3 linked regions of the Diceros bicornis minor genome follow. The protein of the gene in region 2 interacts with the protein of the main gene of each other region in a pairwise test. Links are inferred from orthologs where the notes say so. Each region holds a gene or a part of one and is shown on either strand. Other genes may lie near its edges.

The links.
Region 1: the proteins of HTT (region 2) and MBD4 interact in binary tests that used the Homo sapiens proteins (3 or more experiments, as listed by UniProt). The link is inferred for Diceros bicornis minor from reciprocal best matches to the Homo sapiens genes HTT and MBD4.
Region 3: the proteins of HTT (region 2) and HAX1 interact in binary tests that used the Homo sapiens proteins (3 or more experiments, as listed by UniProt). The link is inferred for Diceros bicornis minor from reciprocal best matches to the Homo sapiens genes HTT and HAX1.

What each region holds. Positions count from the first base shown.
Region 1 is NC_080741.1:87,872,838-87,883,234, reverse strand, and holds the start of MBD4 (methyl-CpG-binding domain protein 4), read right to left. Parts: upstream 5,620-10,397; 5' UTR 5,419-5,619; coding exon 5,330-5,418; intron 4,847-5,329; exon of another isoform or gene 4,793-4,846; intron 3,826-4,792; coding exon 3,595-3,825; intron 3,180-3,594; coding exon 2,323-3,179; intron 1-2,322. Other genes in the region: IFT122 (intraflagellar transport protein 122 homolog), read left to right, coding at 5,909-5,949. UniProt on the Homo sapiens protein: Mismatch-specific DNA N-glycosylase involved in DNA repair. Has thymine glycosylase activity and is specific for G:T mismatches within methylated and unmethylated CpG sites. Can also remove uracil or 5-fluorouracil in G:U mismatches. Has no lyase activity.
Region 2 is NC_080747.1:2,406,876-2,417,272, forward strand, and holds the start of HTT (huntingtin), read left to right. Parts: upstream 1-3,942; 5' UTR 3,943-4,066; coding exon 4,067-4,281; intron 4,282-10,397.
Region 3 is NC_080743.1:58,335,456-58,345,852, forward strand, and holds HAX1 (HCLS1-associated protein X-1), read left to right. Parts: upstream 1-5,104; 5' UTR 5,105-5,148; coding exon 5,149-5,201; intron 5,202-5,737; coding exon 5,738-5,988; intron 5,989-6,165; coding exon 6,166-6,353; intron 6,354-7,076; coding exon 7,077-7,128; intron 7,129-7,275; coding exon 7,276-7,382; intron 7,383-7,510; coding exon 7,511-7,601; intron 7,602-7,745; coding exon 7,746-7,831; 3' UTR 7,832-8,004; downstream 8,005-10,397. Other genes in the region: UBAP2L (ubiquitin-associated protein 2-like), read left to right, coding at 623-690, 1,646-1,843, 2,255-2,305, 3,125-3,220. UniProt on the Homo sapiens protein: Recruits the Arp2/3 complex to the cell cortex and regulates reorganization of the cortical actin cytoskeleton via its interaction with KCNC3 and the Arp2/3 complex. Slows down the rate of inactivation of KCNC3 channels. Promotes GNA13-mediated cell migration.

The sequences.
Region 1 (10,397 bases), on a different chromosome or scaffold from region 2:
CAGTACTGAAAAATTAGAAATAATATGGAATATTTTAAATTATGACACATTTGTACTATGTAGTCATTAAAATATTTTTGAGACTATATCACGAATATTTTCCCATGTCATTAACTAACTGAAAAAAGCAATATTCTACATGATCTCAATTTAATAAAAAAAGAAAAAAAAACGATTAAAAATTAGAATAAAATAAACCAAAATGGTATAATGGTTGTGCTAATTTTTCTTTTCTCCTTTAATTTTCTATATTTTCCAAATTTTCTGCAGTGAACACTTTTATACTTACCAAAAAAAAAAAAATGAAACAGACAAAACAGAACTTGCAGAAAAACCTAACATTTGGACCTTGGAACACCTGAGACCACTATCTCCTGGGCAGCTCAGTTAATGCAATAAAGACTATTTGACCAGTGTTATCAAGCTTCTCAAGTTTCTAAAATAATCACATTTAATATTCCCTATAAGCCATACCCTCTAAATTTGAATGTCAGTTAATAATACCTTGCATTTGTATAGTGCGAAGCCATTGTTTTCACTTCTCATTTGACAATATTCTTGATGTGAAAAACAGGGCTGGAGAGGGTTATTACCTCCATTTTACAGATGAAGACACTAAGGCTTAGAAATTAAGCAACCATCTCAAAACAATAGTGGGATTGATTATAGATTGGGACAAATATCCAGGCCTCCAGATAATTAGCCTAGTGTTTTTTGCTATTTTAGTTTAAACAGGCAAAGCCTAATAGAAAGTAAAAAAGAGAACAAAGGAAACTGCTCTTACTAGCTACTTGATAATTTCTTCCGTGGGTTCCTATAAATCATTACTAGCTGGCCTCCTTTACTACTAAGAGACTGAAGCTCAGTTTACTTGGGGGCAATTTCTAACTAAGCCAATGGGAAAGTCTTTACTATCGCACTGGACATCTATTAGCCTAAGGGTACTTCATCTTATGTTGAGAACTAGACTTCTTTATATATAGAATGAAAAGGATACTTCCATTTTATTAGCAAAAGGATGTTTTTAATATTTTATTTGTCCATTATACTAGCAATGAATCTACATAAACCTCAAGTCTTTAAGAAGCTCAAAGTCTTTAAAGGACAGACTTGAAGAATTTTTATGCAGTTCCTAGGTATATAGGGTCATCTTCTGTTAAAGGTAGAGAAATCCCGGGGCCGGCCCGGTGGCGCAAGCGGTTAAGTGCGCGCGCTCCGCTGCGGCGGCCCGGGGTTCGCTGGTTCGGATCCCGGGCGCGCACCGACGCACTGCTTGGCAAGCCATGCTGTGGCGGCGTCCCATATAAAGTGGAGGAAGATGGGCACAGATGTTAGCCCAGGGCCGTCTTCCTCAGCAAAAAAAAGAGGAGGATTGGCGGATGTTAGCACAGGGCTGATCTCCTCACAAAGAAAAAAAGAAAAAAAAAAAAAAAAAAGGTAGAGAAATCCCAGGTACAGCAAAGACATAAAATCCTGAATGGGACTGACAGCAGGAATCAAGTCTACCCCCTGCTCCACCAATTTCTCCAGGCCATCTCCCCACAGGACTTGAAGTAAAATTATTCTTAAAGGAGTATTCTATTCTTCTTTAAAGGAGTTATTCATTATACCATAAGGGCATAATGAATAACTAATACAGGGCTGCTCAAAAGTTCTCCTTTTTATCTCTTATTCACTGAGGTACTACAAAGGCAAAATGCTAAGCTCTGAACTCTGTATTAAGAGTATATTATAAATAACAGATGAACTATGTGATTACAGGTTTGAATTATTCAGAGCTCTAAAGCATTTTAGAGACACATGACATTATAATAAAAGATAAAAATGACTATGATATATACAAAGTTAAATTGGAAGTCACCTATCAGTAATAAGTAACAAGAGGGGTGCAAAGAGAAGAAACCGACTATTCTCAACCAGTTTATGTATAAAAGGAGTCTTCCTCAAACCTTTTCACAAGTGAAGCCTTTTCATTTTCCCTAAAGTTGTAAGATTACTGGCTGGAAAGAAGATGGGAAGAAGGGAAAGCACTGTCGAGCAGCGTCCCAGCTATTACACCAGGGAGAGACGGTAGCAGCTGTTAATGGCACAATTCTCCTTTGCTAGGTATCAAGGCAGTAGGCAGCGGATTCCTTCTCTGCCATAGGAAACGGCTTGAAGATCGGTTAGACAAGGTACTAAGATCAATTGGTAGAAGGTATCTGATGTTTGGCCCTATTTCTTCATTCTATGCCCACATCCTAACCGGGTACAGGCATGAAATACAACATCCGGGAGTATAAACTCATCACATGTTTTATAGCACTTTAGTGCACTGAATACCTTGAAATGTTTTCAGAGAAGTAGAGTCTTTCTTGGTTTGTAAGCAGTTGTTTGTTTCAGAGCCACATTTTAAAATGTCAGTATGCAAATGTTGCTCCCTTTCCCCAGCTTCTACTTTTGTTCTTATTTCCTCAGACTCTAAAAAGTTATCCTCACGCTTCCTGTTGGGTTCTGCTTCTTTGGCTGAACATAATTTGTTTATGATGCCAGAAGTTATTTGATCAAAACGAAAATTTGATCCTGAACTCAATGATTTTTCTTTTACGTGTCTTTTTTCTTCATTGGTCACACTGTGGGTCTTGTTATTTGCTCTGGTATCAGAAATGCAGAAAGTTCTATCAAGCTGACTTTCTTGTGCAACAGGTTCACTTTCAGCATCTGCCTTATTACACACAGATTCTCTTTTTCTATTACTTTGAATAGAAGCTGAAAGACTCTTCTGACACCCTGTTTTAGTCTTCTTAGTTTGACTTCCTTTCAAAATAGTCACCTTTCCTTTGGACTTTCTAACCTTCCCAGAGCCAGCATCATTAACACCCTCATCTTCTTTCAAAGGCAAATGAATGGAAGTAAAGTTAGATAGTCCTCTGCTATCTTGTAATTTCAAACTACCACTTGGCAGAGGAAACACATCTTTTTTCCACCTGCTTCGTGTCCTGAGATTCCAGTTTGAACTGTTACTTTCATTTTGTGGTCCAGATGTCAGAACTGCCATCCCGCAGTCTTTATATCTTGACTTGATGCCCCGTTTAGAAAGTACAGTAAAATCAAAATCTTCTGGCTTAAGAGAAGTCTCTCCATTTTTGTGAAGATAATTAGCAAGTGAACTTTTGGATCTGAACTTCAGTCCTTGTGGGCTAGAAAATGATATTAAAGGAAACTTATTACTAGTAAATAAAAGTGACTTTTAAAAAGAATTGGACATTTCAGATTTTTTATTAATAATTTCCAAATGTTGCCATGGGCATCTGTCATTAAAATAAAAAACAGTGATAAAATGGTACTTTTAAATAGGTTCCTGTATGACAGTATAAAATAATTTTACAAATATAACTTAAGTACAACTTTACCGTTAACCATTCAGAGTAGGAGAAAATGTATGTACTTGTCCCCAAATCACTTGATATAATTAACCAGTGACACTGAAGGAATGGAATCCATAATGGTTTTATGGTAAAAACAGAAAAAAGCCAAGATTCCCACTATGCTTTCCCACTAACTGTCTAGACAAAATTATTTGGCTGTACTATCTTTACTATCTTGCACGCTCACCTGATAAAATATACATCATATCTTCCTGCTGTTTTCCCAGATAACCTTTGCTTCACAACTCTTTCCCATCCGCATGGGACAGACTTATGGCATTCTGGCACTGGAGTACCACCGAACTGAGCAGAAGCAATGGGTTCTTGCAGCAGGGGATTACGCTCACTGCTGCTTTTTATCACCATTTGTTTCTCATCTTGGCCCACGGTTTCTGATCCCAGAACAACATCTTCCTTGCTGAAAAAACAAAGTACAAGTGATTAGCTCATTTAAAATTTATTTTCCTCTGCTTATTCAATTTCAATCCATGTAGAGCAGGAACCACATGGACTATATGGACTACGGGAGAGATCAGAATCAGTATAGACCAGTCTTGCTATGGGAGTATCTTTTTGTCTTCCAACGTGGGTTAAAAAGGGTTGGGCATCTCTGCACAATGAAAAGCTCAAGCTATTTGGTATAAGATTTTTTTGTTAATCATTGAATAAAGCTATTATAAAGATTTCTGGTGACATTTGGCACAAGTTTAAAAATATAAACCAATAGCAGCGCTCTTAGCCTGGGATCAACAGCACTGCTTAAAGGAGTCAATGAGACACCTTCCTCCTCTCCAAATAAGTGAGGTAAAAATTTTATGTATATGTGCATTTTTCTGGGGGGAGAGTGTCTATCATTTTCATCAGATGCTGTAACCCTCTAAAATGTAATAATTTCTGATACAGAATTTTCACATCTCTTTCATTCTTGATCCTCATGGTAATCTTATGAGGTAGGTAGGATAAGGATCACTCATTTTATTGATAAAATTGTGACAGGAAGATTAAGTTAACTGCAGAACTGATACCAGAACTCAGGTCTACTAAATATTGATCTAATACTTCTCTCCTTATACTATTATTGAAAAACTTCAGTAGAGTGTATCCTAATCACTAAATCACACATTTTAAAAGTTGAATGGGTCTATAGAGATGTCTAACCCAACTTTTTTCCTACAAATAGGAAAACTAAGCAAAACCTAGTGACTAACTAGAATTAGAATCAAGGTCTTCTGATGTAACTTGGAGTTAAATAATTTTGGGGAGCTGGGTGGATCTTAAGAAATTATATAGGTCACAATTTTAGAGATAAGGAAACTGAAACCTGGTGAAAACAGCACAAACTTTAAGGTCAACCGCCTGGGCTCAAATCCAGCTCTGCCACTTACTAGCTATGTGTCCAAGAGCAAGTTACTTAATCTCTCAAAGTCTCCTTTCTCCATCTGTAAAAAGCAGGTAATACCTCTTTTAAGATAGTTTTCTAAGGATTAAATTTGGGGGGAAAAAGAAAAGTAGGTAAATCATCTTAGCCCCATATCGCACATACACAAGTACTCAATAAACGACTAGTGCTTCCTCTGTTAACTTCTCACAGAACCCATTTCTGGGGCGCCCCTGGCTGCTTAACATGACATCTCCTCCAAGGTCTTCCCAGGATCCTCTAACCCACGCAGACGGCTTCTTGCACCGCAAAACCTCCCTACTACTCCCGGCTCCCTCGTCATTTTGGCTAACGAAGTCGGGAGCACCCCAGGGCTGACCCCACCCCAGGAGAACCTGAGCTCCAGCCTCACCTCCGAGTATCTCACCCGGGGGGCCTCGACGGCTCTGTCGACCCTACTTTACAAAGGCCCACCCACGTTCTCCTCCCCCGCTCCCATTTTACAGCTGATGAAACCGAGGCTCGAAAGGGGGCAACAGCTTACCGGAGGTCACAAGGCCGGTCTGGGACAAGGCGCTCACTGGAGCTGCCCAAGGGGGCAGCTCCGCAGTCCCCCAGACTCGGACTCTCCATCCCCGCTGTGCCCCTCAAGCGGGCTCCAGCCTCAGCAACCGACCGAGAGGGTGCAACGCCCTGGGTGTGGAGCAGAGTAAGATGTGAAAACTTCTTCAGCTCAGAGCGCTAGGTGAAACCACAAGCTGAAGGCAGTGAAAGTCTGTCATCCTCCTTAGCGGCTTTTCCGCCACCCAGTTGGCCACAGCCGCCATTTCCGCAGCTCCGCCAATCAAATCCTTTGTCGAGGAAGACGCACCGCCCCCCGCCCATTCCGACCAGTCGCGCGCGCCGTAGTTGCGCAGACGCCTTCGAGGCTCCCGTTCCCTCTTTCCTTTTGCTCCTTTCTTAGCCCTTCCTTTTAGACATGCGCACTCGGAACTCTCGGCCGGGCGCCTAGCTCACTGCGCATGTGCGTTGCCAGGGGTAGCGCAGGTAGCCAAAGTGGCTCGGGGAGCGGGGACTGCTGTTGAGGCGGTTAGGAGGGGTCCGAGGCCTGAGGGAAGCCGCGATGCGGGCCGTGTTGACGTGGAGAGATAAAGCAGAGCAGTGGTGAGGAGCGGGGCAATCCGGGAGGAGCGGGAGGCCATCTCCCCCGGGGATGGCGGGAGCCATTGCGTGAACCCCTGTGGTTGCAAGGGGCAACGGGCCCGCGGCCTGGGCTGAGGGCACTGAACCCCGGGTCTGGGCGACTGCGAGGTCCCTTTGCGGTTGGAGAAACTGAGGTCTGGAGAGGGAGCAAAGGGATATGCCACACGTGAGGTAGTGGGCTGGCGGGGGGGTTTTACACGTATTCACAATCTGGTCTTGTCGCTCCCTTACTTAAAATCCGTCCTGGGCTCATTTTACACCCATGACAGTGTTTCTCAGACTGCACAGTTTTGTCACATCCACATACGTGTTTCCCATACTCTTGTTTACTTCACGTTTTTCTCTAAATTCTCACTTATTTTCGCTTAAATATGATTTTACAAGAAAATTTTATTGCTCCATATTTGAAAATCAATATCACTATAATAAGGTGACTGTAACACTTAAAACCAGGAGAAACAAGACAGTGTTAATAAGTTGTAGCTAGATACTGTTGCTAGGGAGCCTTTAAGCCTGAGGTCTACCTTCTCTAGAACCGGGGGTTTAGCAAGTGTGGTCAGAGAGGTGCGTGGGATGAATAGCAGCAAACCAAGAACTACGCTTGATTAGAAGGCGTGACAGAGAATCCAAGGAGAATGACCTCTCACTTTATGACTCAGTGTTACTTAATGTCCATTTTTATCACCTAAACCTATCACACAATGATGCATTTTGGGAAATACTGACTTATTGGATAGTTCTCCTCTGCCTGACTTTCAAAATTGTCCTGGATGATCTTGTCAGCTTCACTGTGAAGCCTCTGTTTTGGCCACTGGAACAGGACACTTGCCATTCCCTCTCCATCTTTTCTTAGGCCTTTCTGTGTGAAGAAAGCATGCCTTCTTTCCTCGTCTCCTCACAATGAAATCCTAAACAGCCTTTAAGGCTCCCTTTGGAGATGGTCGCTCTCTCTTTTGAACTGCACTGGTAATAGCTAACGCGTACCATGTGCAAGGCACTGGCTGAGAACTTCATGTCTTTTATCTCACTGTCACCTCACAACAGCCCTCTGAGGTAGGTACTGTAATTACCTCTATTTTACATATGAGGAACATGAAGCACAGAGAGGGTAAATAATTTGTCAGGGTCACATAGTGAGTAAGGGGTGGAGCCAGCTTGCTTCCTCACTACAAAGACAATGCTCTTAGCCACTACATGACTTTTTCCCTGTGTTACAGAGGCTGCAAACTCAAACGCCTGCAGGAGTCAGGCAGGCAACATAAATGGGAGATGTTTATTTGCATCCTAAACACGAGGAATTGTCTGGTTTCCCTAGGAGTGTTTTTCTATTCTACACCCCACTTTTCTTGAAACACATAGCCCTACCAGTATATCTTTCACTTCTACTTTTAACAGAGATTTGAGTAAAAGAAAAATTTCTCTTTACTTTTCTCTTAACTCTGTTGTAAAAGTACCCACAGCACAAGCTGCTGATAACTAGCAACTGAACGTTTGGCTTCGATGTCAGACAGTAATAGGAAATGGCAAGGAGTGTGGCACACTGGAGAGCTCGTGCTCGGCCTAAACGGGGCAGCTGCCACTCAGCTCCTGCCAATTACCACCCTGCAGGATTTGGCCTAGTGTACTCAAATCTTCCTATTTTCATCACAGGCTAGAAATCTGGGTTTTTATGTGAAGTGTCCTAATTTTTAAATGTTGGCACCTAATCTTAAAAAACAAAGTAAAACACCATGTGGGCCAAACAAAACATTTGCTGGCCAAATACAGCCTGATTTGCTCCCCTGTTTCAACCCCCAGCATAGAATTTTGTTCATTCCTCTTTGTGGTACTTAGAATCTGTCTAGTGTAAGAGTTATTTGTGAATCTGTTTATCCCAGAAGTCTGTAAACCCCTTAAAAACCATGGCTATGTCTTATTCATTTCCACGTTATTCCAGAGCCTAGTCAAATCAGTGGTTGTTGTGACTGTTTGGTGGATAGATGTATTCACGAATGAGTGAATAAGTGAGCGAATGAATGGTGAATGAAGATTGATTATTTGGTTTTTGGCCCATTACAGGTTGAAACAACTTGTTAGATTAGGGGCAATAGAGGTTCTATAGACCAGCTCCTAATGGCAGTTACATATGCTCAGAATGGGACAAAACAAAACAAAAAAGTATAAGAGGGCCAGCCCCGTGGCTTGGCGGTTAAGTGCGCGCGTTCCACTGCTGGCGGCCCGGGTTCGGATCCCAGGCGCGCACCGACGCACCGCTTCTCCTGCCATGCTGAGGCCGCGTCCCACATACAGCAACTAGAAGGATGTGCAGCTATGACATACAACTATCTACTGGGGCTTTGGGGGGAAAAAAATAAATAAATAAAATCTTTAAAAAAAAAAAAAGTATAAGAAATAGACAGAACTCAAAAATCCCAGATGTCAAAGATCAGTCCTCCATAACTGAACCAGCACCTGTCTCCTGTCTGCTCTTTTCCTTCCAGTCTAACCTCACAGCAGCAGGAATTCTCTTTCTTGAGTCCGGCTGCTGTGATCCATTACTCTACTTCTCGTAAACCTGGAGTGACTCCCAATTAACTTCAATGTCAAATTGTGTACTTAACTAGGTGGCTCCCCCGCAACCCCGACCCTTGCTAATGTTTAAATATATGCTTTTCAGTTCAGCTAGAAACTCCATTTTCTTATCCAAAGGCCATTCCCAAATGCTCTCTTATTGTTCTCTGAGCTCCCTCATTTTCTCTCTGAAAAGCACTACTTCAGGTTCATCTCAGGCATGATGCCTTATTTGGCTAGCCTGCCTTATTCCAATCATGCCAGCATCTGCTATAACCCTCCATTCACACCAGCTAGTATTTACCGAGTACTTGCTGTAGGCCAGACAATGTTTACATGCATTATCTTATTTAATCTCCGCAACAACCTGTGAGGTTGGAATTGTTGCCCCATTTACAGATGAAGAAACTGAGACTTAATGAGGTGACATAATTTGCCTAAGATTCCAAAGCAAGTAGGTAGGGCCTGGGTCAGATTGTGCAGGATTTAAAGAGGCATATTGAGACTTCAGTTTACGGTGGTATGGGCACAGGATTGGCAGAGGACAATTTGCAGAACTCGCCCTCTGTCTCTCTGCAATGGAATCTGAGGATGTATCTTTTTCGTAAAAGGGAGCAGGTGAGGAGAGAGAGCTGTCCTCCAGTACAATAGACTGCCTGCAGATGGGTGAGCTCCCCAGCCCTGGAAGTGTTCAAGCAGAGGCTGGATAGCCATCTATAGGGAATTCCTGCCCTGGCGGGGGAGTTGGACTACATGACAAGGTCTGGGGTCTTTTCCAATTCTGAGTTTCTGTGATCTTATGAGATAATGAAAGTCCGAGGAGTTCAAGATAAAACCTTGTCAGTTTGTCGATTATATTCGCTATGTCTAGGACAAATGGTATGCACCATGGGCCCACAAATCTCTAAAATGGGGTCATTACCCTCAAATTGCATATGACTATAATTAAGGGCACAAGATGGTATCTGAAACAGTGTAAAACAGAAGATTATATAATTCAGAGCTAAATTGAATTGTACAGATTCAAAGTACGGTAAGAGTTTTTGTTGCTGTTAGTGCCATCAAGTCGATTCTGACCCCTAGCGACCCTGTGTACAGTAGAGCAGAACCCTGCCCAAGCTTTTTGCGCCATCTCACCTTCTGGCGCTATATCAGACAATCACCTGCTGCTATTCAAAAGGTTTTCATGACCAGTTTTTTCAAAAGTTGGTGGCCAAGTCCTTCTTCCTAGTCTGTCTTAGTCTGGAAGCTCTGCTGAAACCTGTCCACCGTGGGTGACCCTGCTGGCATTTGAAATAACCTGTGGCATAGCTTTCAGCAACCCGCAGCCACCACAGTATGATGACCAACAGATGGGTGGTGTGGTTCCCTGACTGGGAAGTGAACCTGGGCCTCAGTGGTAAGAGTGCCGAATCTTAACCACTAGACCACCGGGGTTGGCTCGTAAGAGTTTAGATTAGGGCAAATAAGACCTGTGTGTTATACTTTAGGAAGGCAAATTTCAAGAGATTCAGAGAAAATGAATTTTCACATCTGAGAGGAAGATGGTTTAAGCCTTAGACCAAATGAGACACTCAGAAATTATTTTCTGATAATTCAACCCAAAATGATCCATATGCAGAAGAGGCCACACAGGAACCATTTTGATGCACTCAGATATGTACAAGTCTGAAAGGAAGCCACGTAACCAAGGATGACTATAAAAGAGAGGGGCGGACCTCCTCCAGAATCTAGTACCTCATCGTAGCAACCCACAGGTGTCAGGAGCTTTGTCCAAGGCCGGCTTGTAGCACCCTGGGAGGGGGGAGGGCAGCTCTCTCTCCTTGTTTGGTAGGTGAGGATGCAAGCTCAGACAGGAG
Region 2 (10,397 bases):
CTGCTGGGCAGCCTGCTGCTAGATCACTGAACAGGATCCCCAAGGTCATCCTCTGAAAAGCTGATTGGTCTCTCTCTACACACCCAGACATGGCACAGTGGAACTCCAGTCAGCCAAAGACAAAGGGAAAATCTTAAAAGCAGCCAGAGGAAAAAAAAGACACATTGCCTTCAAACAAAGGAGCAACCATTAAATCAACAAGTGACTTCTCAACCGCAGGAATGAAAAGCGGAGGACAGTGATGTCCAGATCTTTACTCTGCTGACAGCAAGCATCTGCCAACCTAGAATTCTACACCCAACTGAAAATCCAGTAAGAATGAAGGCAAAATAAAGACATTTTTATTTTATTTTGTAAGGAAGATTGGCCCTGAGCTAACACCTGCCAATCCTCCTTGTTTTGCTGAAGAAGACCGGCCCTGGGCTAACATCCGTGCCCATCTTCCTCTACTTTATATGGGACACTGCCACAGCACAGCTTGACAAGCAGTGCGTCGGTGCGTGCCCAGGATCCAAACTGGCGAACCCTGGGCCGCTGCAGTGGAGCGCGCGCACTTAGCCGCTTGTGCCACCCAAGACATTTTTAGATAAACTGAAACTGAGAGATTTCAGCAACAGAAGATCCAATAAAAAGAAATTCTAAAGGGTGTTTTCCAGGCAGAAGAAAATGATCCTAGGTGGAAAATCAGAGATGTAGGAAAGAATGAAGAGTAATAAAAATGGTAAATATGGGAGTCAATTTAAACTTTGTTCAAAACAACAATTACTATCTTTTGCAATATGTGTATTTATGTAGAACTACAATACGTGGCAATAATACCCTCTAAATTGGGAGGAACCCTCAGGGATGACCGGCAGGGGACCACCAAATCCCCCTCAGGAGCTGCCTGTCCACTCATCTTGTTCCCTGGCTCTGCTTCACGTTCCCTTCTTTCCCCTGCCCGGGCCTCACCTGCTGTGGACTCCCACCTGGTTTTGGATTCAGGGCAGTGCCAGCCCCCTAGCTGGAGTGTACCCCGTTTGTGGGGGGGCATCAGGCTGCTTTAAATATCTCCCTCTCGTCCTGAGCAGGACCACTCACAAGTCTATTGCTAGGCCTTCATTTTTAGCTCCCCACCCAAACCTTTTCTACAATATTTTTCCCCCTGAATAGTACATGTTCATTGCTGAAGACTTGAAAATGACAGATAAGCACACAGATTAAGATATAAATTCCCTGTAATTGCCCTGCCCAGAGACAGTCCCTGTTATAGACCTGGTGACAGGTCTCTTTTCTATGTATATGTGTGGTTTTCTTTCTTTAAAATAAAAGAGGGGGATCATGGTATACACAGTGTCATCTCTAATGCACTGCCCACCGTTCCCGTGTCGTGACTGCTCTTCAAAATAGGATTTTAATGACTGCACAGTTTTCTGTCATGTGGATATGTCATTATTCATTTAGCCATCTCTTTCCTTCCGTCCAGCATTTATGTTGTTCCCATTTTTTGTCCTACATGTTGCTGTGATGAATGACCACCCTCACACACACATGATTGTCTTCCTAGGGTAAGTTACTGGAAGTGTCTTTGCTGTTCAGGGACTGTGCCCATTTCTACGGCTTTGGAGAAACCAGGCCAAACTGCCCACCCAGCTGTGTAAATCTTTACTCTGTTTTGGATTATGCTAAGCTTTTCTCTGAATTTAAAAATCTGCCTTCTTGACAGTCCCTTTTCTATAAGGCTTTCTTATAAGACTTCTCATCAGGATTATTCCAGGCCCATGACTTTCTTCCTGCCATGGCTGAAGCAGCCATGACCTATTGTGGTCATATAAATTCTCAAGGATTCATAACCTCTTTGGACTGGTCAGAACTTGATTTAGGAGCATACAAACAGAATAATCCAAAGTAACAGTGGCTTAAACAACATAGAATTATATTTCTCTCTCACAGATTTTCATCTGTGAGAAGTTCAGAGGCAGACAGGCCAGGCTGGAATGGCATCTCCCCCCAGTCATCTGGGCCCTGGCTCCTTCCAGCTCCATTATCCTAGGATGTGGCTTACATCCTCATGACCCAAAATGACTGCTCGAGTGCCAACCTCTACATCCCCATTCCAGGCAGCAGGAAGAAGACAGTGTCTCTCTTCCGTTATAAGGAGACTTTTAGAACTAACACACATCATTTCTGCTTACCTCTCATCAGCAAGAACTTAGAAGCAGGCCACCAGGGACAGCCCACAGTCAGGGGGAGGGGACTACACAAGGTGTGAGAACCGGGAGGGGCAGTCTTAGCAGTCTGTGGACCCCAGCACCCGACAGCCTGGAGCCTGGCCATCACCATTGCGGCCTGCCCTGCACGAGGGCTGGCACACGGCCTGGCCCCAGGCAGAAGGGCCTTTATTAACGACAGGGCACTGGGACCTCAAGGCTGAAGGCAAGTTTCTCTGCAGTCCTTCCCCTGAAGTGGGGCTGTTGCCATCCTCCTGGGGACAACGCTTCTTGTGGGGATGCTGGGTTTCCGTTTACCTGACCGCTTTGGGACAACCGACAGGCTCTGAGAGAAGGCAGAGATGTGGCTTCTGGCATAGGACAGGGTGCAGCCCTGAGCAGGCTCTGGAGGGTCCATCACTACCCGCATCACCTCTCCCCAAGGCGGCTCTCTCCGAAGCCAACGCACTCTCTGCCCTGCAAGTGGGACAGCTGCCCCGGAGGCCCCCACCATCCTCTGTGCCCCTCTGCTTGCTCACTTACTTCCCCCCAGGTGGTGAGGCTCTGGAGACTGGACCCTCTCACTACCGGCCTGCCCTCCCATCCCCCGAGGCAGGAGATGCCCACAGAACTTTGTGGATCAGGGGTCCTCTCCCTTGCAGGGGAGACTCTTGGTCGGGGAGTCATTCTGGTGGGGGACGTCTCTGGGGTCAAAGCCGCTTCTCACTGCACAGCCACAGCCTCTCCGGGCACGGCGCCCGCCCCTCTCCTCCCCTCCCCCTCGGGCTGCAGACTGCGGGAGGTGCTGGCCCCCGGCCTCCACGGCCCCTCCTCTCTGGGGGCTACACGTGGGCTCCCGCCCCGAAGGACCAATCCCGCAGGTCTCCGCCAACCGTAGGGTCCTCTGGTTCTGTGCAGGGCGCACTCGCTTCCCCCTTCCTCCTCGCAAGGGGAGCCCGACCCGCTCCCCGCAGGGCTGTCCCGGTGAGGCCCTCTCTCGGCCCGGCCACTGGGTGGGCAGGCGCCCCCCGCGGGGGTCTCCAGGCTCCAGGCCCACGGCCGGCCCTCCCTGCGACCCCGGGCGTCGGCCGGGGCTCCTGCCGAGGGGGGCGCTTCTTTCGAGGGGTGCTCCTTCCCGAGGAGGGGGCACCTTCCCCACCGCGCCTCGACCCTCACCCCCTCAGCGTCGCGCCTGTTGCCTGTAGCTTCCCTCCCTCTTCATTCTCAAGCCGCCTGGCCCCCCACCTCCCAGCAGCGTCTGCTTCCCAGCCGCTCACCGCCGGGCCCCGCCCCCACCGCCGGGCCCCGCCCCTCACAGGGCCCCCCCCCGCCCCGCCCCTTACCGCCGCGCCCCGCCCCCACCGCCGGGCTCCGCCCCTCCCCTTACCGCCGTGCCCCGCCCCCACCGCCGTGCCCCGCCCCTCACAGCAGGGCGCCGCCCCTCACCGCCGGGCCCCTCCCCCACCACCGGGCTCCGCCCCGCCCCCACCGCCGGGCTCCGCCCCGCCCCGCCCCTCACAGCAGGGCCCCGCCCCCGCCGCCGGGCCCCGCCGCGCGCCGTGCTCTCGCCAGGGAGGAACGCTGTGATTTCAGCGTCCGCGGCGGCTTCGGGAGGCGGGCCGGCGCCGCGTCCGGCCATTGGTGGAGGCTGCCGCCTCTGGCTGTCAATCCCGCCGGTCCGGCCTGGCCCCGCCCCGCCGGCGAGTCGTCGCGGGACGCACGACAGCGGGTGCTGCCGGGACGGGTCCAAGATGGCCGAGCGCTTGGGTTCCTCCCCTGCTTGCGGCCCTGGGTCTCATTCATTGCCGCGCTGCTGAGCGGCGCCGTCAGCGGGCCCGTGGGCTCCGGAGGCTGTCCCCGTGGGGCGGGAGGCCGCCATGGCAACCCTGGAGAAGTTGATGAAGGCCTTCGAGTCCCTCAAGTCCTTCCAGCAGCAGCAGCAGCAGCAGCAGCAGCATACCCCGCCGCCTCAGCCCCCTCAGCCGCCGCCGCAGGCGCAGCCGCCGCCGCCTCAGCCGCCGCCGCCTCAGCCGCAGCCGCCGCCGCTGCCGCCGCCCGTCCCAGCCGCGGCCGAGGAGCCGCTGCACCGACCGTGAGTGCGGGCCCCTGCACTCCCCACCCGGCGACCGCCGGGGACAGCGGCGGCCCTGCAGACCCGGCCCCGCGGCGACACGGCCACCCCGCGGCCCCGAGCGCAGGGAGGGCACACGCTGGGCACGCCCCTCCCGCTGCGAGAGCCGGTCCCGTGTCCCTCCCCGGCGCCTCGCGGGTCTCGTTCCTTCTCGGGCAGGCACTGCCTCGCTGGCCCTCCTGACGCCACCGAGGCGGTCTCGGCCCCTGTCCTCTGCCTTCCCCGGCAGGCGAAGTTGGGGAAGGAACATGCTGCTTTATGTTTGCAAGAAACTGGGGCTGTGTTGTGAGCAGAAGTTGGAAGAGCCGAGAGCGCGTCTCGTTTGGCTTCCTCTGGGCCTCTTCCTTTCCCTCTCTTAGTTGAGAGGGAGGAGGGCTGGGGGCGCAGGACGCTTCGCGAGGAGCCAGGAATTGGAGCTGGAGTGATGTGGGGATAGTGCATGACATCATGGCTTTAGGACGTGGGGCTGGGAGGGCGGGGGCGTGCGGACGCGGCCCAATGGAGATTCTTTTTCCAGGGGCCCTTTAAACAGCCTGTGACATTCGCAAGACATTTCATTTAGTTCGGGAATGCCAGTGGTAGCAACAGGATTTTAAGCATCGGGAAGAGACCCGCTTGTCTAAGCTCAAGCTGGTATGCGAGCACTTGAATGAGTTGTGGTTGCCAAGTGCATAAGTGGTGAGCTACTTAGACGGTTATTATTAACAAGTGAGAAATAATAAAATTGACTTAGATATTAGGAAGAGTTGACTGAAGTTTTTTGCCTATTTTCAGTTGGAAATAAAAACGACCCATGGCTGAGGGGGAGGTTAATTGCTGGAGGGTGAAGGATGTGCATTTCACCAGTGCAGTACTGTAGTCCAGCTTGCTGGAACGTGGGTGTCTGCAGACCCCGGGGACGTCTGTTTCCTTCGTTGCTGACATTCTGGCATTGTTTGGAAGCTAGGGGTCTCTGTGGCTTGTGCCTGGGAGAATTTTTGAAACAGAAGAAACCATGAATAGCACCTTCTAACAGGACCCAAGTACTTTTCCCTGAAGTCTTGGTGTGCTGAGTGTTCAGCAGAGATTAGGCCTTTCTCTCATCTCAGGGCATTTTATTTCTGATCTGGGGATGTACAAGATGGCATTTAATGAGGATAGTTTTCAAGAAGCAACCCCTTTAAGAAACTCACTCTATTAAAACTGATTCATTTTTAGTAATGTTTTCTTGTTCTTTGTGTTTCTGATACGATCTTTGCTGTGTCCTGAGAGTTTAATTAAAAAATGAGAATTTGAGGAGTAATGTTGGCTTATCTGTTGGAGTAAAATTCAGAAATAAATTAATTTTTCTTGTAAGAGGAAAAACCTGTTTGGATACGTAGAGGTTTTTTTTTTTTTAGGAATTGGACTTATCTTTACAGCAGGTAATTTATAATCATAACCCATTCCAGACTTTTATTGTACTGCGTCTGCAGGAGGTGGATGTCATGGAAGTTCACACATTGCATGGATTTTGTGTAGATTACACGGGGAAGCACTAAGCAGGGCTCTGTGGGAAGGAAGAGCTAACTGTTGTCACTGGTGGCTTGTTCAAACACTTGGTCAATCTAAAAATATGCCTTCTGTTTCTTATGCTGATTTGAGAGAACCTGAATTTGCTCATCTTCAAAATATGGGTATAAAGAAGTTTCTTTCTAAAGCCAGCTTGACAAAGTAGATTGATTTTGTTTCTTTACTTTAGTTTATGGTAATGTATGATGGACTTATTTTAAAAATTTAATCTATTATTTTTGCATAAGTAATACATTAACATGATACAAATTCCAAAATTACAAAAAGGTAATAATTAAAATCTCTCTCCCCCACTCCTTTCTCCTGAGTACCTAACTCTGTTCCCAGAGGCAAGCACTGTTATACTTCCCCCTTTTGTCTCCTTCTGGATATAATCTGTGCATAAGTGAAGATAGATTTTAAATTATTTAAAAACAAAAGTATTTCAGAATAGTAACTTTTAAAAGTTCTTAGCATGCTCTGAAATAAACTGCATTAGGCTTAATTATAGTGACTTTAAATAAAATACACAAATATATTTTTATGTACTTTGCTGTTGAGAAAATAGATATTCATTAATTTTGAGTAACAAACTCACTGCTTACATGTTTGGATCTTGGCATTTCTGTTCAGATGCTTCAGCTGAAAAATCCGTTCCCCAAAGTAAGATTGGCCAAAAGCAATTTAGATAGTATCTGTTCTATTTTTATGGCTCTTGCTCTCTGTTGTGTGAAAGTGTAGTGTTATAGCCATGTGTGGGCTTCAGCTGAAGTATCTGAGTGCCTGCTCTCGGCTCAGCATATAGAGTGCAGGGCTTCTGGTGGGACTGGCATGCAGGGGAGTGCCAGAGCTTGGGAGGGTCCTAACTGTGATTATGAGTCAGTTGACATTTGTCTTTGGCACTTTCTCATTCTCCTTCAGATTCCGACCTAGTTTTCCCCTGACTTTAGTTATTCACTCGTCAGTAAATATTTGTTGAACATCTAATATGTGCAGGCTCTGCCCTCGTGAAGCTTTCATTTTAGTGAGGGACATAGACAACAAACAAGATAGATACCAGTATGTTAGATGGTGGTAAATGAAGGAGGAACAGCAAAGCAGGGAATGGGGACCAGGCAATGTCAGAGTTGATAAGGTGTTGACGTTTTAGATAAGGTGTCCAGGGAAGATCCACGGAGATGGTGGCTTTGGAGTAAATACCTGAAGAGAGTCAAGGTTACAGCCATGAGGGTGTATAGAGGAGGGGCATTCCAGGCAAGGGGAACAGGTCTGAGGCGCCCCTGTTTGAGGAATCACAAGGAGGTCAGTTTGGCTGGTTGAATTAGGGAGAGGGACACTCTTTGTAGGAGGTGAGGTCAGAGATGGAGAGGAAGTACCACCCAGATTAATAGGCCCTTCTTTGCAGATGGAATAAAGACATTGGCATTTATTCTAAGTGTGAGGGGAAGTCATTGGAGGGTTTGGTCAGAGGAGTGGCAAGATTCGAGTTCCATTTAAAAATGAACACTGGCTGAGAACAGAATGAAGGGGAGCGTGGGCAGAAGCAGGAAACCAGTTAGGAAGCTGTGGCCGTGAACAAGCGAGAGATGTTGGTGGATTCTGTCTGGATATTGGCATAGCAAGGTAAGAAGTGACTGAATTTTGAAGGTAGAACCAACAGGACTTGTTCATCTCTGTCTGCTAAGCATAACATAGTGTAGCTATAGTTGGTGTTATCAGTTAGGATTGTATTCAGCAGCAAATAACAGAAAACCCTGCTGCAATCGCTCAAACAGATAAGAGTTTATTATAAGACAAAAGTAAGTCTGTTTGAGGAAGTTCAGCAATAAGATTAGGGACCCAGCCTCTTTCTTACACTTAGCTTTTAAGCCCTTGTCCTCATTCTTTCCCATTTTTCAGTTGAGTTATTTCTCTTTTTGTTGTTGAATTGTAACAGTTCTTTATATATTCTGGATTTTAGACCCTTATCAGATATATGATTTGTAAAAACATTCTCCCTTTCTGTGGTTTCTCTCTTCACTTTCTTGCTAGTTCCCTTTGAAGCACAAGTTTTTAATTTTGGTGAAGTCCAGTTTTCTATTTTGTCTTTAGTTGCTGTGCTTTAGGTGTTATATATACAAAAATGTTACCTAATTCAAGGTCACAGAGGTTTATTACTCCTATGTTTTCTTCTAAGAATTTTAGAGTTTTAGCTCTTACATTTAGGTCGGATCCATCTTGAGTAAATTTTTACGTATAGTGTAAGGTAAGGGTTCAGCTTCATTCTTTTGCATGTAGATATCCATCTGTCCCAGCATCATTTATTGAAAAGACTGTCCTTCACCCATTGAATTGTCTTGGCACCCTTGTTGAAAATTAATAGCCCATAAATGTATGGATTTATTTCTGGACTCTCAATTCTCTTCCATTGGTTTATATGTCTATCCTCTACCAGTACTAGATAGTCTTGATTACTCTAGTCTTGTATCACAGTTTCAGATCGTGAAATGTGAGTCCTCCAGCTTTATTCTTCTTTAGGATAGTTTTGGCTATTCTGGGACCCTTCTGTTTCCATATGAATTGTAAGATTAGATTGTCAGTTTCTACAAAGAAGCCAGCTGGGATTCTGATGGGGATTGCATTGGATCTGTAGATCAATTTCGGGAGTATTGGCATCTTAACAATATTAAGTCTTCCAATCCATGAACATTGGGAAACTTTTTATGTAAATGGTTAGATAGTAAATATTTCAGGTTTTGTGGGCACAACGTCTCTGTCACAACTACTCAACTCTGCCTTTGTAGAATAAAAGCAACCAGAGGCAATATATAGATAAATGAGTATGGCTGTGTTCCAATAAAATTTTATGAATGACATTGAAATTTGAATTTCATGCAATTTTCACATCATGAAATATTATTCTTTGATTTTCTTTTTTGGCCAACCATTTAAAAATGTAAAAACATTTTTCGCTTGCAGGCTGGCCAAATACAGGCAGGCTGTAGTTTGCCCAATCGTAGATTAAATATGATAGGATCACTTTTGGGAAGCATGTGTTTTGGTTCCTTTTTATTAACTAGTTTAAAAAATTATACAAGTTACACATATACATTGTAAAAACATCTGCAAACAGCACAGAAGATGAAAAACAAAGCCCTTCTCCCAGTCTCGTTCCCTAAAAATAACAGTTATTAAATTTCGTTTGCTGCCGCTTTGATTTTTTTTTTTTTTTTTTTGTGAGGAGACCAGCCCTGTGCTAACATCCGCCAATCCTCCTCTTTTTTTGCTGAGGAAGACGGCCCTGGGCTAACATCTGTGCCCATCTTCCTCCACTTTATATGGGACGCCGCCACAGCATGGCTTGCCAAGCAGTGCGTTGGTGCGCGCCCGGGATCCGAACCAGCGAACCCCGGGCCGCCGCAGCGGAGTGCGCGCACTTAACCGCTTGCGCCACCGGGCCGGCCCCCGCTTTGATTTTTTAATGCACATACAAACATTTAAAGGTGTCCTTTTTTTTTTGTTTGTGTGACTGAGATCACACTATATTTTTTCACTTAGCAATAACAGTAATAATAGACATTGTCCCATAGCTGTACATATAATTCTTATTAATTGCTACATAATAGTGTAGAATTTCTTTTTAAAAGAGGACTTTTGGAGATGTAAAGGCGAAGATCTTACATGGTCCTGGCTTTCAAACCGGCTGCTGACATATTCTTTCCGCCCTAAGAGCCCCACCCGTATTACCTCCAGTCCCTGCAAGCACTTGGTGAACTACCGTGGAGTGGATCTACCCTCAACACATTTAGTCTTATTCAGACAATAAGGAAAAATAAAATATAAGACACTGTTTAAAGATATGGATAAAGATAAAGATATAAGACACTGCTTAATCTTGTGTTAAATTGAATCAGCTCGGGTGCTAGAATATGTGTTAGAGACAAGATATGCCATAGATCCTTGCTGCTCAAAGTGGAGTCTCAGGGCCAGCAGTTTGGTATCACGTTGGGGGTTTATCAGAAGTACAGAATCTCTCCCCGACCTTAGACCTACCAAATCAGACTCTGCATTTTAGCAAGTTCTGTGAGCAATTTGTATGCACGTTAAAGCTTGAGGAGCTCCACTGTAGATGCTCAGGCCTTGCCTTTGTTGTGGTCGGTAATGCTGTCAGCATTTGGGAGGGAAGACTTATGTTGCTTATATATGTCCAGGTGTAGCTGAGGCAGTCTGTATAACTTCTCTACCTAGGGCCCTTGAGCATTTGTGTAGCTGCAGAGTAGGCTGTAACACTGACAAGTGAGCTGCGGTGGCATTAAGAGCTCCCAGCTACTGGGAATGGGGGCTTTAGTGGGGATTGGACTCGATGACCTGGAAAGATTCCTTTTGACCAAGTGCCTATTGTGTGCCAGGCCCTGGGCGCTGGCATTACAGGAGTGAGCAAGACAATGGTGATAAATACTAGGGGGAAAAACAAAGCAGAATAAGGAGGAGAGGGCATGTGCAATTTTATTTAGGGTGTGAAGTGTGCTGAGAAGATGACACTGGAACGGAGGGAGCAAGCCATAGTG
Region 3 (10,397 bases), on a different chromosome or scaffold from region 2:
AGGACTGAGTGGAGTTTGGGCAGATTGATTTGAAATGGACATTAAAAGTTTAATACATTCTGTTGGGCTTTAGCACAGAAGTATTTTGAAAACTGTATGCTTGTGAGGTTTGGCTAAATCCGCCCCACCCCCCCACCCCCACCCCGGCAAAAAAAAAAAGAACAAACTCACCTCACTCTCTCACACATATACTCAGTACACATCTGGAAAGAGCAAGAGAACCTTTGGGGTTTTTTTTGTGTGTGTGTGGTGAGGAAGATTGGCCCTGAGCTAACATCTGTGCCCATCTTCCTCTAATTTGTACGTGGGACGCTGCCACAGTCTGGCCTGATGAGCAGTGCGTAGGTCCGCACCTGGGAGCTGAACTGTGAACCCTAGGCCACTGAAGTAGAGTGTGCAAAGTTAACCACTATGCTACTGGGCCGGCCCCCGGCAAGAGAACCTTTAGGTAGCCTTTGTTTCATGAGCTCTTATCCCTCAGGACTGACCTGAAGCTGGGAAAACAGACCAAAATTCCCTTGCAGTGCTATAGCTAGAAAGGCTGCACACATCACCTCCTCCCAGGGATAGGGGCCAGGCAGCTAGCTGAGCTAATCCTCCTATCTGTTTCCTCCTCCCCCAGGTGTATCAGTCACCTCCAGTAACACGGGCGTGCCAGATATCTCGGGTTCTGTGTACTCCAAAACCCAGGTAGGTGCCTGGCTCTGGATAGAAGTGGGAAAAGACAGATGGACACAGAGGAGGTAGAGTTGTAATAATAGAAGTACGGTGAACAAGAACCAAGCCTAAGAGAGGTGTCAGGAAACCCATCCTTCTAGAAAATGAATGGTCTCAGACTTCAGTTTCTTGAAGAAGTTTAAATTTAGTTCTCTAGAAAAAGACAAAAAGAGAAGTGTTACAGGAAGGTGAGATGTGGCAAATTGTTGTAATATGTTGTGTGAATTACTGTGCAGCTGTCTGGGCCCTTTACTTACCCACTCCCAACTTTTTCATCACTTTCCAAGAGAATGAGTGTCGAATGAAGGGAAACTAGTTTATTCCATTCTTTGTAAGTATCTAAGGGATAACAAAGAGTGGGAAAGGAGACAACCCAGTAGCTAAAGTGATGCATTTCAGTTATCCACAGATGTGTATTGTGCTGTTTTTCACCTGCCACCATAAATAATTAAAATTTTGATAAAGTATTAGGAGTTACGGTTGAGTGCTTCAGGGCTAAGACTTTTAATACTCAAGATACCTCAGTGTGTATTCATTTCTTTTGAAATATCCAAGCAGTTCTAATTTCTACCCAGCTCTAGGGGAAGGGTGCTAAGAGTAGCCAGCAGATTTCACTGTGTTCGTATATGACGTTAGATTTTACCAAGTGCTTTCACATCCATTTTCTCGTTTGGTCCTTACAACTGAGAGGTCAGTAGCATCCCTGTTTTCATGTATGAGAAAACTGAGGCTGAGAGATAGTAATTTTTTCAGGATCACACAGCTATTAAAGGGCAGAGCTGAGACCGAGACTGGAATATCTGACTTCAGGTGCAGTGTTTCCATGACACTGTGCTGCTTCCTGAGGGTGGGGGAGCTTGGGCTCCGAAATTCCAGGCATTAGTTTGCTGATCCCTTTTACTCTCTCTCCTCGCATCCTCCTGGATAGCAGTCCTTTGAGAAACAAGGTTTTCATTCCGGTACTCCTGCTGCCTCCTTCAACTTGCCTTCAGCCCTAGGAAGTGGGGGGCCCATCAATCCGGCCACAGCTGCTGCCTATCCACCTGCCCCCTTTATGCACATTCTGACCCCCCATCAGCAGCCGCACTCCCAGATCCTTCACCATCACCTGCAGCAGGATGGCCAGGTAATAGCCCTTTCCCTCTCTCCTTTCCCTTCCTCTTCCTTCCTGTCCCTTAAAACTGCCTCCCCTCTCCTTTTCTTACCCTTCCTCACCACCACCTTCACCCAGTCCTCCCCAGCGCCAGTCATGGGCACACAGCACATACAGACACAAGCGCACATAACACAAGTGGCCGGCAAAGGAGATGTCAGAGGAGGGGCCATTGAAACCTTTTTTTGCCCCATTCCTTTGTTGCCTTTCTCCTCCACCTCCCGTAGCACAGTTGTCCTCATCCCATTAGACCTTGGTCACACCTCCCCTCTTACCTCTCCCAGCCTTCCCCCTTCCCTGACATTATAGCTTTCCCTTCTAATGGTGGAGTTCTATTGTCAAAGTTTGTCCCTTTATTTTCCATATATCCTGGTTCTGCCTCAGCTACCATATTTGCAGATGATTCTCTGTTGCCAGCGCCAGCAGGAGGAGCAGGTAATGAAACTCAATGATGATATGCTTGAACCCACTCCTTTTCAGTCCCCATTTCACCTCCACAGCCTTAGGGACTTTGAAGAGAAAAGACTGCACGGTCACAAATCGGGATACACAAACACAACACCTTGCTGAGCTCTCTGGCCTCCCATTCCTCTCTTGTCCTCCCCTCCTCAATGCCCTCTTTTTCTTTCTACCCTTCCCTAACTCTGGAAACACTTGGTTACCGGAATGGAAAGGATTCTTTGGGCAGCATCTGGAGCCTGGGGCCTCAGACTCTCTCTCCTGAAATGGGCTCACAGATGTGATGTGTGATAGGGGTGGGGAGCCACGGGGTGGTGTGAGCGACCTCTGCTCCATCATAGGTGGCTGGGGAGCTGGAATAAGAGCTTCCTTGCTCTCCAAGACAGCTTTCCAAATTGAGACATTCATGGGGATCAATGAAAATGAAATCACCTTGTGATCACTCATCTCCAAGAGGCCATAATTCTCTGTAGAGAGTAGCCTTTTCTCAGACCAGGGGAGGATGGAGGTGGGGGTGGGTGAGGGGGATTTGAAAATGCATAGAACTGATTCACTGTCTTGTCTCTAAAGGTATCTTGCCCTCTTTTCATCTTTCCCCTATCTAAAGAAAGTGCTTTCTTATCAGTGGTGCTCTAGCAGCCATATAAACCGAATTTTCTATTGTTGAGAAGCTTCAGAGCCGTTTCTAAGCAAGGGGGATGGGAGAGCAATTTCCAAATCTCCACCTGAAGATATAACAGTTTGTCCTAACTACACACCTTTTTCCTCCCCATCATCCTCCCCATTCCCCTGCAGACGGGCAGCGGGCAACGTAGCCAGACCAGCTCCATCCCGCAGAAGCCCCAGACCAACAAGTCTGCCTACAACAGCTACAGCTGGGGGGCCAACTGAGGCCCTGACCCTCTTCTCCCGGTCCCATCTTCTGAGAGGGCTTCTCAGCCTGGCAACTATGGAAACAGCATCAAAGAGAGAAAGGAATGTGGGGGGGGTTCCGCTGCCCCCCACCCCCAGCGGCCCACCCCATGCCTCAGCTTCATGTCTGTCCCATTCCCATCCCATCCCCACTCTGTTGTATGTATTATAGGATTTGTATTTTCTCCTTTTTTTTTTTTTTTTTTTTTTGGTCCTTTCCTCTCCTCCTCCCCCCTTGCATTCAAGATTATGAAACTTTGCTGTGGGCCTTGCCCTTCCTTCTCCTCCTGTTCACCCTGGTGGTGTATGGGTGAGGTGGGGAGGGGGCCCCCCCAAATATATATCAGCCCAACAGCCCTAAGTCTCCTCCTTTATTATTAGGAAACAAAACAACAACAACAAAAAATGGCGTCATGAATATGAAAAGCGTTGTCAGATGAATTAGTTGAAGTGTTTTTTTTTTTTGTACTGTGTCCTCAAATTTAATGGATTAATGTGTCTTGTATATATAAAAAAAAAACCTTTACCTTCAGCCTCTGCCCATTCTTACTCTGTCTAGGATATCCTCAGTCTCGTCGATGACCAGCTTGGTGAATAAGTATTACTGTACCAACTGGGCCTCTAGGCCCCGAAGGCAGTGGAATAAAATGAAATCTTCACCCTTTAAGAACTCCTCTGACCCTAATGTGCTACTGTCTTGCCCTTGAGGGGATTCCCTTCCGTTCTCCCCTAAGACTTGCACAGCCTGGTGCCTGGAAAGAACCACCACAAATCTTCATTTCCTCCAGAAATCGACATCTACAGCAGATTTTAGGCAGTGAAGGGAGTGGGATAGTGGATATTGGATGGAAAGCAAGAGGATTAAGAAGGAGCGGAAAGAAATGGCTTTGTAGTCCAAGTATAATTTAGATGGGTCCAGGCAAATGAACTGGAAAGAATGGGAGGCAACATACACTGTTGGATGGCAAAACTGACGCTTGGGGCTCATTTCTCCTAGTAGACTACAGCAGTTCCTGCTTGTTGAGTGCTTTCATTTCACATGGCTATACCCAACTCCTTAAAAAGGAAGAGTCTAGAGCAAGGCCAGGGTTGGGATGGGGGTGGCGGGTACAAGGGGGGGAGGGTTTGAAAATCAATGATGGGAAAAGGGGGATAATTATAGCCCCAAATTCTTCCCTTTCAAGACCCTTCCCTAGATTTCCCTTGCTCTCTTAGAAAGCTGTTATCCTGCTGGTTGCAGAGCATGCCTAGAATCAAAAGAATCCTTCATAATTAGGACAAACTCCTTAGTAGCTGGAGAGGAAGTTAAGTCCTTGCATCCCCGTGTCTTTATCTCTGCACAATTCTGGGGAATGCAGTACTAGAAGGAGCTTGATAAAACAGCTGTCCAACCCTCTAATGTTATACTTAGGTCAGTCAAACCAGCAGGACCGAGGAAAGGGGCGAGGTGGCTTTCAGACGGAAGGACCGGTAGTCCGTGGATGAGCCGGCGGTGAGGGAAGGTCTCGGACCGCTTCATTTGTGGGGATGGACTGCCACCTGGTGCCTTTATCTGGTACCATCCAGCGTCAAACCCTCCAAACACTATTGGACTGGGTTGGTCCAATCAGGAGAATCGGCTTAGGAGGCAGGTGATCACTGGGAAATAGAAATTTGCCCCGCCCACTACCCTCACAGGAAACAGGTAAACAGGGGTAAGGAAAGCCTTTCGAATTTGAGAGGACTGTCCGGCCTGCCCCCTACCGGCGTCTAGCGTACGGTCGTTTTACGACAGTGTCCTGCTCGCAGGCTTGCTTTCCGGCAGCGTGGTCTGACGTTTCGCTCAGTTTCCGACAGCGAAGCGTAGGCTGCCCCCAGGTGTGAATGGGCCTCTGGTACGGTTCGAAGGTTCGAGTCCCAATACGGGAATGAGCCTCTTTGACATTTTTCGGGGGTTTTTCGGCTTTTCGGGACCTCGGAGGTGAGAGTGGGTCCGGGTCGGACAAGGGGGGTGGTCTTCTGAGGGGAGCTTGACCCCTAACACCCAATTTTTGGAAAAACATCCTCTTCCCTACTCCTTCAACTCCTGCGGAGAGGACGGAAGTCACAACATTGAGCACTCACCCCGCAGCAGTAGCCAAGGCGTCGTTAAGAGGAGGAGAAACAGCACCTTAAGCCTTTCTCCAATCTGGGGTGATGCAGCAGGGCCCGGGCGGGGAAGACAGTGGGGCTCTGGGGAAGACGACAATGAGCAAGTGAGCAGGAGCTTGGGAAAGAGGGGAGGGGCTGGGGGACACTGAAGAAAAGCCGAGGGGAGGTGTTTAGGGGAGCTGCGAGGTGAGGACTGACTGATAAAAACTAAGACAAAACAAAACAATACCCAATGGCCAGTCCTCTAAACCTCACCTCAGCTCCCCAGAACCCTACTCTTATCCCACTTTGCCACCCGTGAGTTGATTTTATGGTTTAAGTAGTTCTGAAATCTTGGTGGCCAATCTGCCTCTACCCCAACTACAGAGATCCCTTTTTTGGAGGGATGACTCGAGATGAAGATGATGAGGAAGAGGAAGAAGAAGGAGCCACGTGGGGCCATGGAAGCTCGAGGTTTGAGGGTCCCCAGCCCCCGGAGGAATTTGGCTTCGGCTTCAGCTTCAGCCCAGGAGGAGGGATGCAGTTCCATGATAACTTCGGCTTTGATGACCTAGTACGGGATTTCAATAACATCTTCAGCGAGATGGGGGCCTGGACCTTGCCTTCCCGCCCTCCTGGTGTGTGGCTGCCCCTGAGGGAGAGCCTTTGGTTTCTGCTGGGTTGGTGGTTGAAATAAGGAGCCTGCAGAGAGTAGTTGGGGGATGGGAAGTGTGAGAAGACTGATGATTTCAAGGAGGTTTAAAAGAGCCCAAGTCCTTTCCCACCCCCAGCATCCACCTGCCACCTTTCTTCAGAACTTCCAGGTCCTGAAGCAGAGACACCTGGTGAGAGACAGCAGGAGGGACAGACGCTTCGAGACTCAATGCTTAAGTATCCAGATAGCCACCAGCCCAGGATCTTTGGGGGGGTCTTGGAGAGTGACATAAGAACTGAATCCCCAAAACCAGCACCAGACTGGGGCTCCCAGAGACCTCTCCATAGGGTGAGTACATCTGGGTCTGAAGCGAGAGCCTGTGGGAGACAACTAATGGAGTGCAAAGACTGGCATTCTTGTTGGAATCGAATGGACTTGAGTTGGAAACTTAGGCCCTCCACTTAGTGTATATTTTCTATATTAAGCTTCTTTTAGGGTTTTCTTTGGGGGAAAATGGGGGTTCTGTTTTTGTGTGTGTGTGTGTGAGGAAGATTAGCCCTGAGCTAACACCGGTTGCCAATCCTCCTCTTTTTTGCTGAGGAAGATTGGCCTGGGGCTAACATCCGTGCCCATCTTCCTCTACTTTATGTGGGACACCTGCCACAGTGTGGCTTGATGAACGATGTGTAGGTCCACACCCGGAATCCGAGCCTGCAAACCCTGGGCTGCCAGAAGTGGAGCACGTGAACTCAACCACTACACCACCGGGCTGGCTCTGGGAGTTCTGTTTTTTCTTAAAAAAAACAAAACAAAACCCTGGTCTATATGGTTCTGTGACAAGGCAGGATTGTTGGGGGAGGACAGAAAAGTATCAGTTCAGGAAGTCTTTTTGGTAGAAGAATACATAAAGCAGCTAGGCAGGAAGGCGGGGTGAGTAAATAAAGCTATCCTGAATGGGATTCTCTCTCCTGAAAAAAGGTAGTTTTGGAACTTGGGAATAATTTGGGTACTTTGATCCCTCAAGATTCAGATTGAAAAGTGTCATTTTATCTACTTTGGCTTCTTCTGCAGTTTGATGATATGTGGCCCGTGACCCCCCACTCTAGAGCCAGGGAGGACAATGGTGAGTCTGGAGGGAGAGGACGTTCACCAGACCTCTGTTCTCCCAAAGTTCCCTCTATTTTTCCTCCCTGAGGTTTCTTCCTGCCACACTTGTCCCCTTCTTTCCTTTGGACTCTTTCTTTCCTGTTTCATCTCTCTGCCCTTCTAGATCTTGATTCCCAGGTTTCCCAGGAGGGCCTTGGCCCAGTTCTGCAGCCCCAGCCCAAATCCTATTTCAAGAGCGTCTCTGTGACCAAGATCACTAAGCCAGATGGGGTGAGTTGGGAGAGAGGAGTAAAGGGAACTGTGGCCAGAGGATGCTCTGGAAAAAGGGATCTATGTAAAGAAACCAGTGAACTCACCTTTAGTGATGTTAGGGATATGGTGGGGGCTTCTCCTTGTAGACAGTAGAGGAGCGCCGGACTGTGGTGGACAGTGAAGGTCGGACAGAGACCACAGTAACTCGTCAAGAAGCAGGTGGCAGTCCTAGAGATGGTAAGTGAAGAGTGTGAATGAAAGGGGTCCATCTTTTAATTCCTTGGGGAAGAGAAACCCTCTTCTACTCTTTAATATTATTTTTCTCCTTTGCGTCTGCCCAATCTTTTTCATTTCAAGAAAGTGTATCACTTTCTTCCTTAGATCCAGAAGCACCAACACCTCCAGCCCTGGATGATACCTTTTCCATCCTGGATTTATTCCTAGGACGTTGGTTCCGGTCCCGGTAGCCTTGTTAACCCTCAGAGACCTTCAGGTTCTTTCCACCTTCCACCCTTTGCTCACCATCAATGGGCTTAGCCTCTTCTGCCACCTCCGGGCTTGGGTGTGTCGAACAGTGAATTGGGGGTATGTCAGTATGTCACTTGCCCAAACTGACTAATAAAACGTTTATTTATGCTAATTCTTTAGTCTTGGTTTTGTTAAGGCTGTTCCACTTTCTAGCACCATCCAGGGCTTCCAAAATTATCCTGCCCACAGTTTTCTCCTTATGTCTTAATTTTTCTTTCCACTTTCAAAACCTGGTTTGATAAGTAAGGGTCAGGTACCAGTAGAAAATGATTTTCTTTACAGAGGAGATAAGATGACTAGAGATAATTCCAGGAAAATTTATAGACAGGGATGCATCAGATTACAAAAAAAGGAAGTGTGTGAAAGTGTGGGAGATAACTGCTTCCCTAGATGTGGGATCACTATGATTGGATACTTCATGAGATCATTTGAGGAAGTATATGGGCAAATATTTCTTCCTTTATTGGCTATGTTTTTATTTTTTTATGTAAGAAAAAGTATAACTAGCAAAAACATTACTGGATCTTTTTCTCATTAAAAAAGTTTTTAGCACTGGTTTAGAGCGGCAGGTCTTACAAATTTATTTACCTCTGTTTCCTCTGGAAACCTCACGAAAATAACAATAAAGGGATTTTTCTAAAGAGGCATATCACAAGAACAAAGGAGAGGAGATATAGTAATGAACTTTTGTCTTTTTATTCTCTTTTTTATATCTTTTGGTGAACAGAAGATGATTCATTGTAGCCAAATTTATCTTTTCCTTTATGGTTAGTGCTCTTTATATCTTTTAGAAATCTCCCCAAACCCAAGGTTAAAAGGATGCTGTCCTTTATTACCCTCTATGAGTTTTTCAGTTTTGCCTTTTACATTTAGTTTTCTTAATCCACCTGGAATTTATCTTCCTATATGGTATGAATCAGGGGACCAGTTTCATTTTTTTCATTTGGGAAAAAATATATACACATATGCACATATATACACACATATTAACATATGTGCACACATACATATATATAAATACATGTATGTCCCTGTGCTGGGTCTTTCTACTCTTTTCTGTTAATCTATTTATCTATCTTTGAACCCATATTACACTTTTAAATACTATAGTTGTATTTAGTAGAACAAATCCTCCCACCTTTTTTTTTTTTTTTCCCCACTAACTTCTATAGTATATAAGAATACAATTGAGATTTCTAGTCAGCTTTTTACAGTCAGTGCTGGGGGTCTAGTGGTTAAGATTCAGCACTCTCACCACCATGGCTCAAGTGTTTCCTGGTCAGGGAACTACATCACCCATCTGTCAGTTGTCATACTATGGCCACTGTGTGGTGGTGTGATGCTGACAGCTATGCCACAGGTATTTCAAATACCAGTGGAGTCACCCATGGTGGACAGGTTTCCGCGGAGCTTCCAGACTAAGACAGACTAGGAAGAAGGAACGGGCCACCCACTTATGAAAAAATTTGCCATAAAAACCCTGTGAATAGCAGCAAAGCATTGTCTGATATAATGCCAGAAGGTTAGAGCTTGGTGCAAAAAGACCAGGCAGGGTTCCGCTCTGCAGTGTCACTAGGAGTTGGAATCGACTTGGTGGTACTAACAACAAAATCAGCTTTTTAGAGTACCATCATAAACACAAATGGAGCCAGAGATTACCAGACATCTGTGGACAGCATCCAACATGAAGGATGGAGACTCATACAAACAAAAGAAGCAACTTGGAAGAAACAGAGACTATGCAGAAAGATGAAAATTTAGCAAGAACACAAATCTTTAATATCCTTAGAAATATGAGATGATATACCCATAAAACCAAAACAGGATGCTACAAAAGAGGAATTAACAAAATAAGAATGAACTTTGGGGAGTTAAAAAAAATATGATGGCAGAAATGAAAAACTATAAAAAGGTCTGCATGCCAAAGTTGAGGAAATCTCCAAAACAGTAGACCAAATAACAGAGACAGAAAATAGAAGGAAAAAAGATAAGAAAATTAGGGTAGTATAAATTATCAAAGAAATAAGTAAAGAAAATAGCCCAGAAGTGAAGGATATTACTTTGTAACCTGAAAGGACTCACTACATGCTTGATATCAAGGATGAAAATAAATCCACTCCAAGGCACATCATACAAAATTTCAGAACACTAGAGACAAAAGAGAATCTAAGTGATTCGAGAGAGAGAAATCACATACAGAGGATCAGGAATCAGAATGTTCTCAAACTTAAACAGCAACACTGGAATTAAAAGACAATGGAGAATTATTTTTAAAATACTGAAGGAAAATTATTTCCAGTCTAGAATTGTATGCCCAATTAAACTATGAATTAAATGTAGGAGTATAATAGACATTTTTAGACATGAAATGGGGTATCTATAAAAGGGGTTTCTATAAAAACCTATACCAAACATCATATTTAATGCTGAAAGACTGATGCTTTCCCACTAAGATTAGGAACAAAGCCAGGATATCTGCTCTTATCCTACGTTGTATTGGAGGTT